Mytilus edulis: one gene and its partner. The protein of the gene in region 1 purifies or fractionates together with the protein of each later gene. This does not show direct contact. Links are inferred from orthologs where the notes say so. Each region holds a gene or a part of one and is shown in the gene's direction. Other genes may lie near its edges.

Evidence for each region.
Region 2: the proteins of histone-lysine N-methyltransferase SETD1B-A-like (region 1) and CXXC-type zinc finger protein 1-like purify together in Homo sapiens (affinity purification with western blotting; 16 studies listed by BioGRID and IntAct, counting the BioPlex papers as one, with this or other methods). This does not show direct contact. The link is inferred for Mytilus edulis from reciprocal best matches to the Homo sapiens genes SETD1A and CXXC1.

What each region holds. Positions count from the first base shown.
Region 1 is NC_092349.1:14,257,528-14,261,464, reverse strand, and holds the start of histone-lysine N-methyltransferase SETD1B-A-like, read left to right. Parts: upstream 1-1,503; 5' UTR 1,504-1,697; coding exon 1,698-1,725; intron 1,726-1,860; coding exon 1,861-1,988; intron 1,989-2,653; coding exon 2,654-2,749; intron 2,750-3,921; coding exon 3,922-3,937. Other genes in the region: glutamic acid-rich protein-like, read right to left, coding at 287-416, 1,130-1,187. UniProt on the Homo sapiens protein: Histone methyltransferase that catalyzes methyl group transfer from S-adenosyl-L-methionine to the epsilon-amino group of 'Lys-4' of histone H3 (H3K4) via a non-processive mechanism.
Region 2 is NC_092344.1:87,711,924-87,715,860, forward strand, and holds the start of CXXC-type zinc finger protein 1-like, read left to right. Parts: upstream 1-904; 5' UTR 905-990; coding exon 991-1,026; intron 1,027-3,937. Other genes in the region: dynamin-1-like protein, read right to left, coding at 147-248. UniProt on the Homo sapiens protein: Transcriptional activator that exhibits a unique DNA binding specificity for CpG unmethylated motifs with a preference for CpGG.

The sequences.
Region 1 (3,937 bases):
GTCATTTTCCGGCTTTTTTAAACTGAGTATGTGGTATGGGTTTTACTAATTGTTGAAGGCCTATGGTGACCTATAGTTGTTGATTTCTATGACATTTTTCTCTAATGGCAATCATACCACATCTTCTTATCACTAATATAGATATGTAACACCTATAATAAATAACATCCAACATGTCCAAGTTAAATTATTGACCATAAACTTTGAACTAATGTAATTTTATAAGACCCTAAAACTCTGCTCCTGGTTAACCTTTTTTTTTATGTAAACATAACCTTATACTTACTTGTCTAACTTTTTCACATATTTGTCAACATTCTTTAGAATTTCTGTCTTAATATCTTTCTTTGATACACTTTTTACTGCCTCTATAAATGTTCTTTTTAATTCCTCCTTGTCATAATCATCTCTGTATGCTAAAACGAAATTAGTCTTACTTTAAACTTGTTTAAATATAAGTTCAAGCTTGCATTTTGTGATTTAAAAAGGAAAGATCCAAACAAAATTTGTTTTGCATGGGTCTAAGAAACTTTGCAGTGTTAACACAGACATTTCAGCCAAAGTGGTCCATTTCAAGGCAATTAACTTTTGTTAAACAAAAAAATGTTTACAAATAATTTATATATATGGTTATATGAGGGGGGGATAGGACCTTTATCGGGACTACGGGATCAGGTGTTTTTAAGCTTGGGATTTCAGGATTGACCCTGTCGGGATCCTGGAATTCCTTTATAGAATTTCACGATGTTGGGATTTAAATTTATGTAAATTCAGGACCTCAGGATTTCATATTTTTAAGCCCGGGATTTCGGGATCAGGACCACTCCTATCCCCCCTCTTATATCAATTTGTGTATGAATTGGTATATTATGGGAATAAAGTTAAAGCTATCCTCTACTTCTAGTCACACATTTGACAATAAAAATATAATGTTGTTGCTGAGGTTCTTATCCAATAGGCAATACATGCAAACATATATCCAATATTTGAGCTGAGTAAGAAAATCAAATTTATACTATATAAAGATAACTTGGAGACCCTGGCCTTGAGAGGTAAAATTGACTACAAATTTGATGTGATCTGATTGTTCATGAAATGATTATTTGATGTATTGAAAATATAATTTCACCTTTCAACTCAATAGCCGTTTGTTTTGTGAACTTTGTGGCTTTTTTACTGATGTTCATTTTTATCTGTATTATGAGTGTATACTAAGAAATAATACACGTGCACTTTTCACATTAATAAGCCGAGTGAAGATGTTATCTGAATTTTGATTGGACAAAAGACAAACGGGGTATTCCGAAATATACCAATCAGATAAAAACGCTTAAGCTTTGAAGGATTCTCCTAAATATCAAAGGAACTACATGAACCTTTTCAAAATATTTAATAAATTCGTGTTTAATTGGATGATATACAAATAAAAATATCTTTTCTATACAAATTCCAAGCATAATATTTATACGAAAATATCTCGATTTTCAGATTTTACAACTCTGCCTTTCGGTGCATTGAATTGTGGGATAGAAAGGAATCTTTGATGCTTGTGTTTTAAGAATGAGCAAATTATTTCACTTAAATACGTTTACAAACAATACTTTTGTTTGTAGATGTGTTTTTATGTATCTTATTTAACCCAAGAATCAGTACAGAAGCATAGGAGTAGCCAGAATTGTCAATCAACGTGAAAAGACATGGATTTCGACAGAATGGAAAGCTCCAGTGAGGATATACAATGTTTACATTTGAAAATTTAATCGAATTTCAATGAATACATACTATTGTCATTCAATTTTGTGATTATCATGATATATTTTTGGTTCATGGCAAATTTATGTATTTAATTTCTATTTTCAGGCTTAAATGGGATGAAGGCAGGGATGGATGGAGACAAGAAACTTAGAAGAAATTACAAACTGCTTGTAGATCCTATGATAAGAGGAGGCTCCCAGAAAATCTACAGATTTGATGGGATAGATCCAACGGTAACATGTTATGATTTAAAGAACGAGAAGACTGTCAATTATAACTTTCTTTTCATGTGCATACTTGCACATATGTATACATGTATGCAGCTGAAAAGGAAATATACTTACTTCATGCATTTTTACAAATATGCATTGTCTTAGTACATGCACAAAATGTATGATGTATTTTTATCACAATTTCTGGATACACTCTTACATGGTCTAATTTTAAATGCAAATTGTAAAATTTGAAACCCACCGCTTGTTTAACATGTTTAAATGGTTATATTTTTTTACTTTCTGTCTGTACATGTACAAAATGTAGCTTCAACTATTACTGGTACATGCACTTATAGCATTTTATGTAAAAACATATTAAAAATGAAATATTATTATGTAAATTTGTGTAACATCGATATTGATGATGTAGCTGATTTTAAATTTCAAAGAATTCTGAATAGACTGTTTCATATCTGTAACACCAAAAAATCTTGCCATAGGCATGATAGATGTATGTTACATTGTAGACATCGGTAGAAAACCATAATCCTAGAAAAATTTACATAGATCCTGATTTGTTCAGATTAACATTTTTAGTGTATGAGAGATTTTGATAATTCTGAATATCATATGTATTAAAGACTATTAGAATAGTTATATCATTTAAGCTTTCCTTGTTATAGGACAGTCATCAAATCCACACTAGAGATCCAAGATCAAGGTTAACTCGAATGTGGACAAGAAGAATTCCTGCAGATTTACCTGTTCCAAGATTTACGGTAAAACTATGTAGTGTGTCTCAAAGTTCTCTCTAGAAATGGGTCATTACCCGAACTATGATAATTTTTACTAAGTGTAATAAATGTTTAACTGTTTCAATATGATCTGTACAGACGACCAATTTAATTTTTTTGTCTTAAAGGACTTTTTTGCTTTCCAATATAAATTATATAATTAGAAGATGTGGTACAATGTATGATTGCCAATGGCAATGAGGCAACTCTCCACCAGGGCTGAAGGCTGCAATGTTTCAGTTTCAGGGCCTTCAAAAAAAAAATTTGCAACATCATAGTGTATTGCACAAAAGCAAAAAATTGAACATGTTGAATATGAATTCGAACCATATATCCAATTTTAAGTTTTTTGACTACAGTTATTCAGTGTTCTAGGATTCCCATTACCCGTTACCCGGGGTAAGTGGATTAGGACAACGGGTAAGTCATTTTTTAGCCTTTGTCACCCGGTGGTAAGTCAATTTTCAAGTTCGGGGAAGCCGAAAAACTCTTGAAATTTCCCGGTCCTCTTCAATTTTCCCATACCTGCTTTTTATTTTTATTAAATCACGAGAAAAAACTTTGATAAAAGATCGAAGATTTTGTCGATGTCTATCGGCGCTTTTATTCAAGCACTCGTTTACTAGGTGTAATCAAGCGCAAAAGAGACCACATTCTTCTCCTATCATTCTAAAAGTTGGTCACGGTGTCGGTAAAATCGGAAAATCCGGATTGATAACTGGTGCTTAAATCGGGACATAAACGATTTTTTTTCTTGTCATCGGAGGAAAATAAACTTACAGTTGCATTTATTATAGCTCTTAATAAATGACATAGTAATAACTATAACATATTTGTCAAATTTAGTAAGAAATCGTTTTTGTTGCGCCGTCCGCATTGGTTGGCGGATTTAACTTTTAGATGTGGGTAAGTAATTTTTTTATTGATCTTACCCGTGGTAAGTCAAGGTGCCAAAAAAATCCTAGAACACTGTTATTCTGTGTCAGAAACCTTGTGTATAATGTGTCAAATTTTTGATTGCAATCCAAATTCAGACCTGTTTCAAGTGCGAATATTGTGTCCATTTTTATTCCAACTGTTCATGGTTGGACCTCTGCGGTCGTATCCATCAATTAAATTTATAATTGTGTTAATTTTTCCATTTGTTCTATTTTTAGTATGACCATTATTATG
Region 2 (3,937 bases), on another chromosome or scaffold:
TTGATGTAACATATACATATCATAAATGAATATAGGGCGAACGAACCCAGGGCGAACGGACTATCAGGGCGAACAAACTCAGTGCGAACGAACCTAGGGCGAACATGTAATCAGGGCGAACGATCCCGATACCATGCACGGTCCACCTGATTGCCTATCACAACAATTTGTGGAAGCTGAATTGTCTCTGAACCAACAGTGTTAAAAACATCTTGCAGTTTGTTGATAACAGGGATCAGCCCTTCCATTGCTGAAAGGTTTATTTTCTATTTGATGTTTACATAGAAATTACATCAGAGATAAATACAAATTATTTTTAAGGACATGCACCTGATTGCCTATCACAGCAATTTGTGGAAGCTGAATTGTCTCTGAACCAACAGTGTTAAAAACATCTTGCAGTTTGTTGATAACAGGGATCAGCCCTTCCATCGCTGAAAGGTTTACTTTCTATTTGATGTTTACATAGAAATTACATCAGAGATAAATACAAATTATTTTAAGGACATGCACCTGATTGCCTATCACAACAATTTGTGGAAGCTGAATTGTCTCTGAACCAACAGTGTTAAAAACATCTTGCAGTTTGTTGATAACAGGGATCAGCCCTTCCATCGCTGAAAGGTTTACTTTCTATTTGAATGTCAATCAGCAGTCAGGGACATTTGACTTGTTTCGCTTTGGGCATAAACTCCAAAATTATCTCCGGCACTTTTTCACTTCCGGGTTATAAGGTGAATAAAAGAATGATTTAAATTACCCCGAAACATTTTATATACACATTCAGTGACATTAGATTATTAACATTTATTACTAATGAAAATTTCTAATTTCAACAATATTTATATTCTGACTGTTTTATATATCTTTCACCGAAAAGATTCTGATTTTTTATTTTAATCTAAAATCTTTCTCAAGACAGCAAAAGGGATGACGTATTACACATTGACAGATTTGGCTTACTAATTTTTGTTGTAGTATATTCTCATTATGTCAGAATCTGAAGGCAGTGCTAGTGGAATGTCTGTAAGTTTTATAATATGAGACAGGTGTAACTTTTAAAATAGTACAAAGTCCGTATCAGTAGTTTTTTTTACATGAATTTACAAGTTTTATATGATCTTTAGAAAAAAACTATCAGGTTTTTTAAAACTGCAAGTAAACCTATAGCTATAAATTATAGCTTGATATGGCTGTGATACTGACTAGTTAATTCGTCTATCCTTCAAATCCGACTACTTAACATTGAGAATGATATGGATTTTCATAATTTCTTGATATAACCCTACAAGCTCAATTATGTTTTGAGTGATTATCTCCCCTTTGCATTTTTAAAATTATTTTTTTATGAGGGGAAAAGGAGGAGGGGGGCATGATCTTTTTTGGGACGTCATGATGGGGTGTTTTTATGCTAGGGATTTTCGGATTGACCGTTATCGGGATCCAGGATTTGTTTTTGAGAATTTCGTAATGTCAAGATTTTTTTTCTTCTGCAGGATTTCATGTTTTTAAGCCTGGGATTTTGGGATTAGGGCCCTCCAAACCTCCCTCTTTTATGGGTTTTCATGCTTTTAAGGCGTTACCATTTCCAATAAAAACATGCATTTTACACATTCATATGAGGTTGCAAAAAATTATCTAGCCATACATTTTTATGTTATTATTAATAAGAAGTTCAGTCTAAATCTTTGCAGACAAAATTAGGAGGCACTGTTTCAACCATTCAATTAAGAAGGTAATGATGTGAACAACAGGATTTTTAAACCTCTTATTTCTAAACTCTATGTGCATCTTTACCAATGTCCAAAAACACAAAAAACAAAATGGTAAAATTTGTCATTTAAAGGGAAACTTCGCAAAAAAATCAAAAATTGATATTATGTCCATTCTATATATAGAAATGCTCAAATTTATAGATATTAAAGTTTTATTCCGCTAGATAAGAGATCACCATCGATTTTAAATTTAGAGTATCAACTCTCTGCGTTCCGCCATTTTGTCGTCTTCCCCGATTAAAAATCACGATATGTCTATAAACCACAAAGGACCAAAACTACACTAACCGATGTAGTCGTAATTGCGTGTCGATATCTTGTCAATCGTACGGTTGTTTTATCTGACAAACTAACTTGATACAGAAAATGTTCTTATTTTTTTTTAAATAACCATAGTCTGTTATTTTTAAACTGTTAATATTGGAATTAGTTAAAAAGTCAAAGTTTAAATCATAAATAAGTTTTCCGTGAAAACTGTTTTCGTAAATCTTATTCGTTTATAATTCTTTAAAGTAATAAATTTTATTCAAATAAATTCGGATATTCCCTCATCTGATCACCAGCATGACTAAAGGTATTACTCCCAAAGGTATTGTGAGGGGTGTGAGGTGACACGTCCAGGTATTCAAACGATTTCCTGTCGGGCTTGCAAGTTCATGCATCGTTTCACTTCTGTAGGTATTGATCAGTGTACACGGCCGATAACTTATAACTCTCCATTTTGAACTATCAGGTGTATAATATACATCTCTGTCTTGCGTGTCCGAAAGTGATATAATATACTATAGCCATTACTAAACTCATACGCTTGTTTATAAATAACATTACTGGTGTAAAGAATATTATTTATAAAAATACAAATAATACCAAAAAAAAAAGATTTGATAAAATAAAAATCTATTTACATTTTTTTTCCAAGGTTTAATTTGGGAAAATGTAATATATACTCGTTGTCAATAGTAAAGGACAGATTGGAACATACCAGAAATATTGATTTAATAAAAATGTACGCACTTGTCGACGATTCATTTCTACGCCTGGATAGAAAGTTACGGAGCTATATCGCAATTTAAAATTATTACATGTATACATTGAACATAAGAAAGAAACATACATTTTGTGTAAATTGGGGTAACAGTTTTGTAAATAGACTATTCCACGTATGCCAACAGTATGTAATCATCGAATTCGATAGACCATTGTATACCAAAAGAAGAAGAAGAAGAAGAAGAGGACCAATTTGATTTAAATACAGGTCGATATAATAACTTGCTTCGGTTCATCGAAGTTATGAACATAGTAAAATCACAAATTTATATATCAATTAGATCGTTCTCCAATGAAAGGAAGAAATTCGACATCATCACAATTGTTCCGACATTCATGTAAAACATATGCAACTGGACGTACACTAATAAACCCCAAGGGATGTGAGTATTTTCTAGGAAAACTTTTGAGTATTAAAGTTTCAAATTGATTTCGGGATTTATTTTCTTTCTTCAAATTCAATGACATCAATTTAAAGAATAAACTGCTTGTCCGCTTTAGGGGTATTCTTGCCAGTTGAACAGACTTATAATTACATTCAAAAATAGGGAACTTAAGATGACATTAAATTCGTTGTCTTTTTTTTTAAACATTGTTGGTCAAATAGCTAAAGTATTATTCGTTGTGAGAAGAAGACTATTTTAATAAGGACGCTCCCGATTATGAATAAATTTGGTTGACGTTTTTCACACTTGAAAAGAATTTCTATTCGTAATTTGTCGATTCCATTCCAAGAGGAAACTTAAATTTCCTGTCAATTTTTTAAAACATCTTTTTTTTTCAAATAGCTGAAGTATTCATGCATGGGTTGTGAGATTTAAAATATTTTGATGAGAATATTAATTCCTAAATAGGTAAATAAAGATCGCTTTGGATGGACTAAATCATATAATTGCAATCTGTTTGAAATATTAAAGGTTGGCGATTTTAATTTTAAAAAGTACAATTTTTAGTTCATACACTCGTGTTTAGAAGGCTATTTTTATTTATAATTTTATTCAATTAAAATAATTCAGTATTTTATCGTTACAAAACTAATCAGAAGTCATAATTCATTTAAAAGTGAGCTTATGCAAAATATATATATAAAAATATACAACAGCTATCCAGTTATT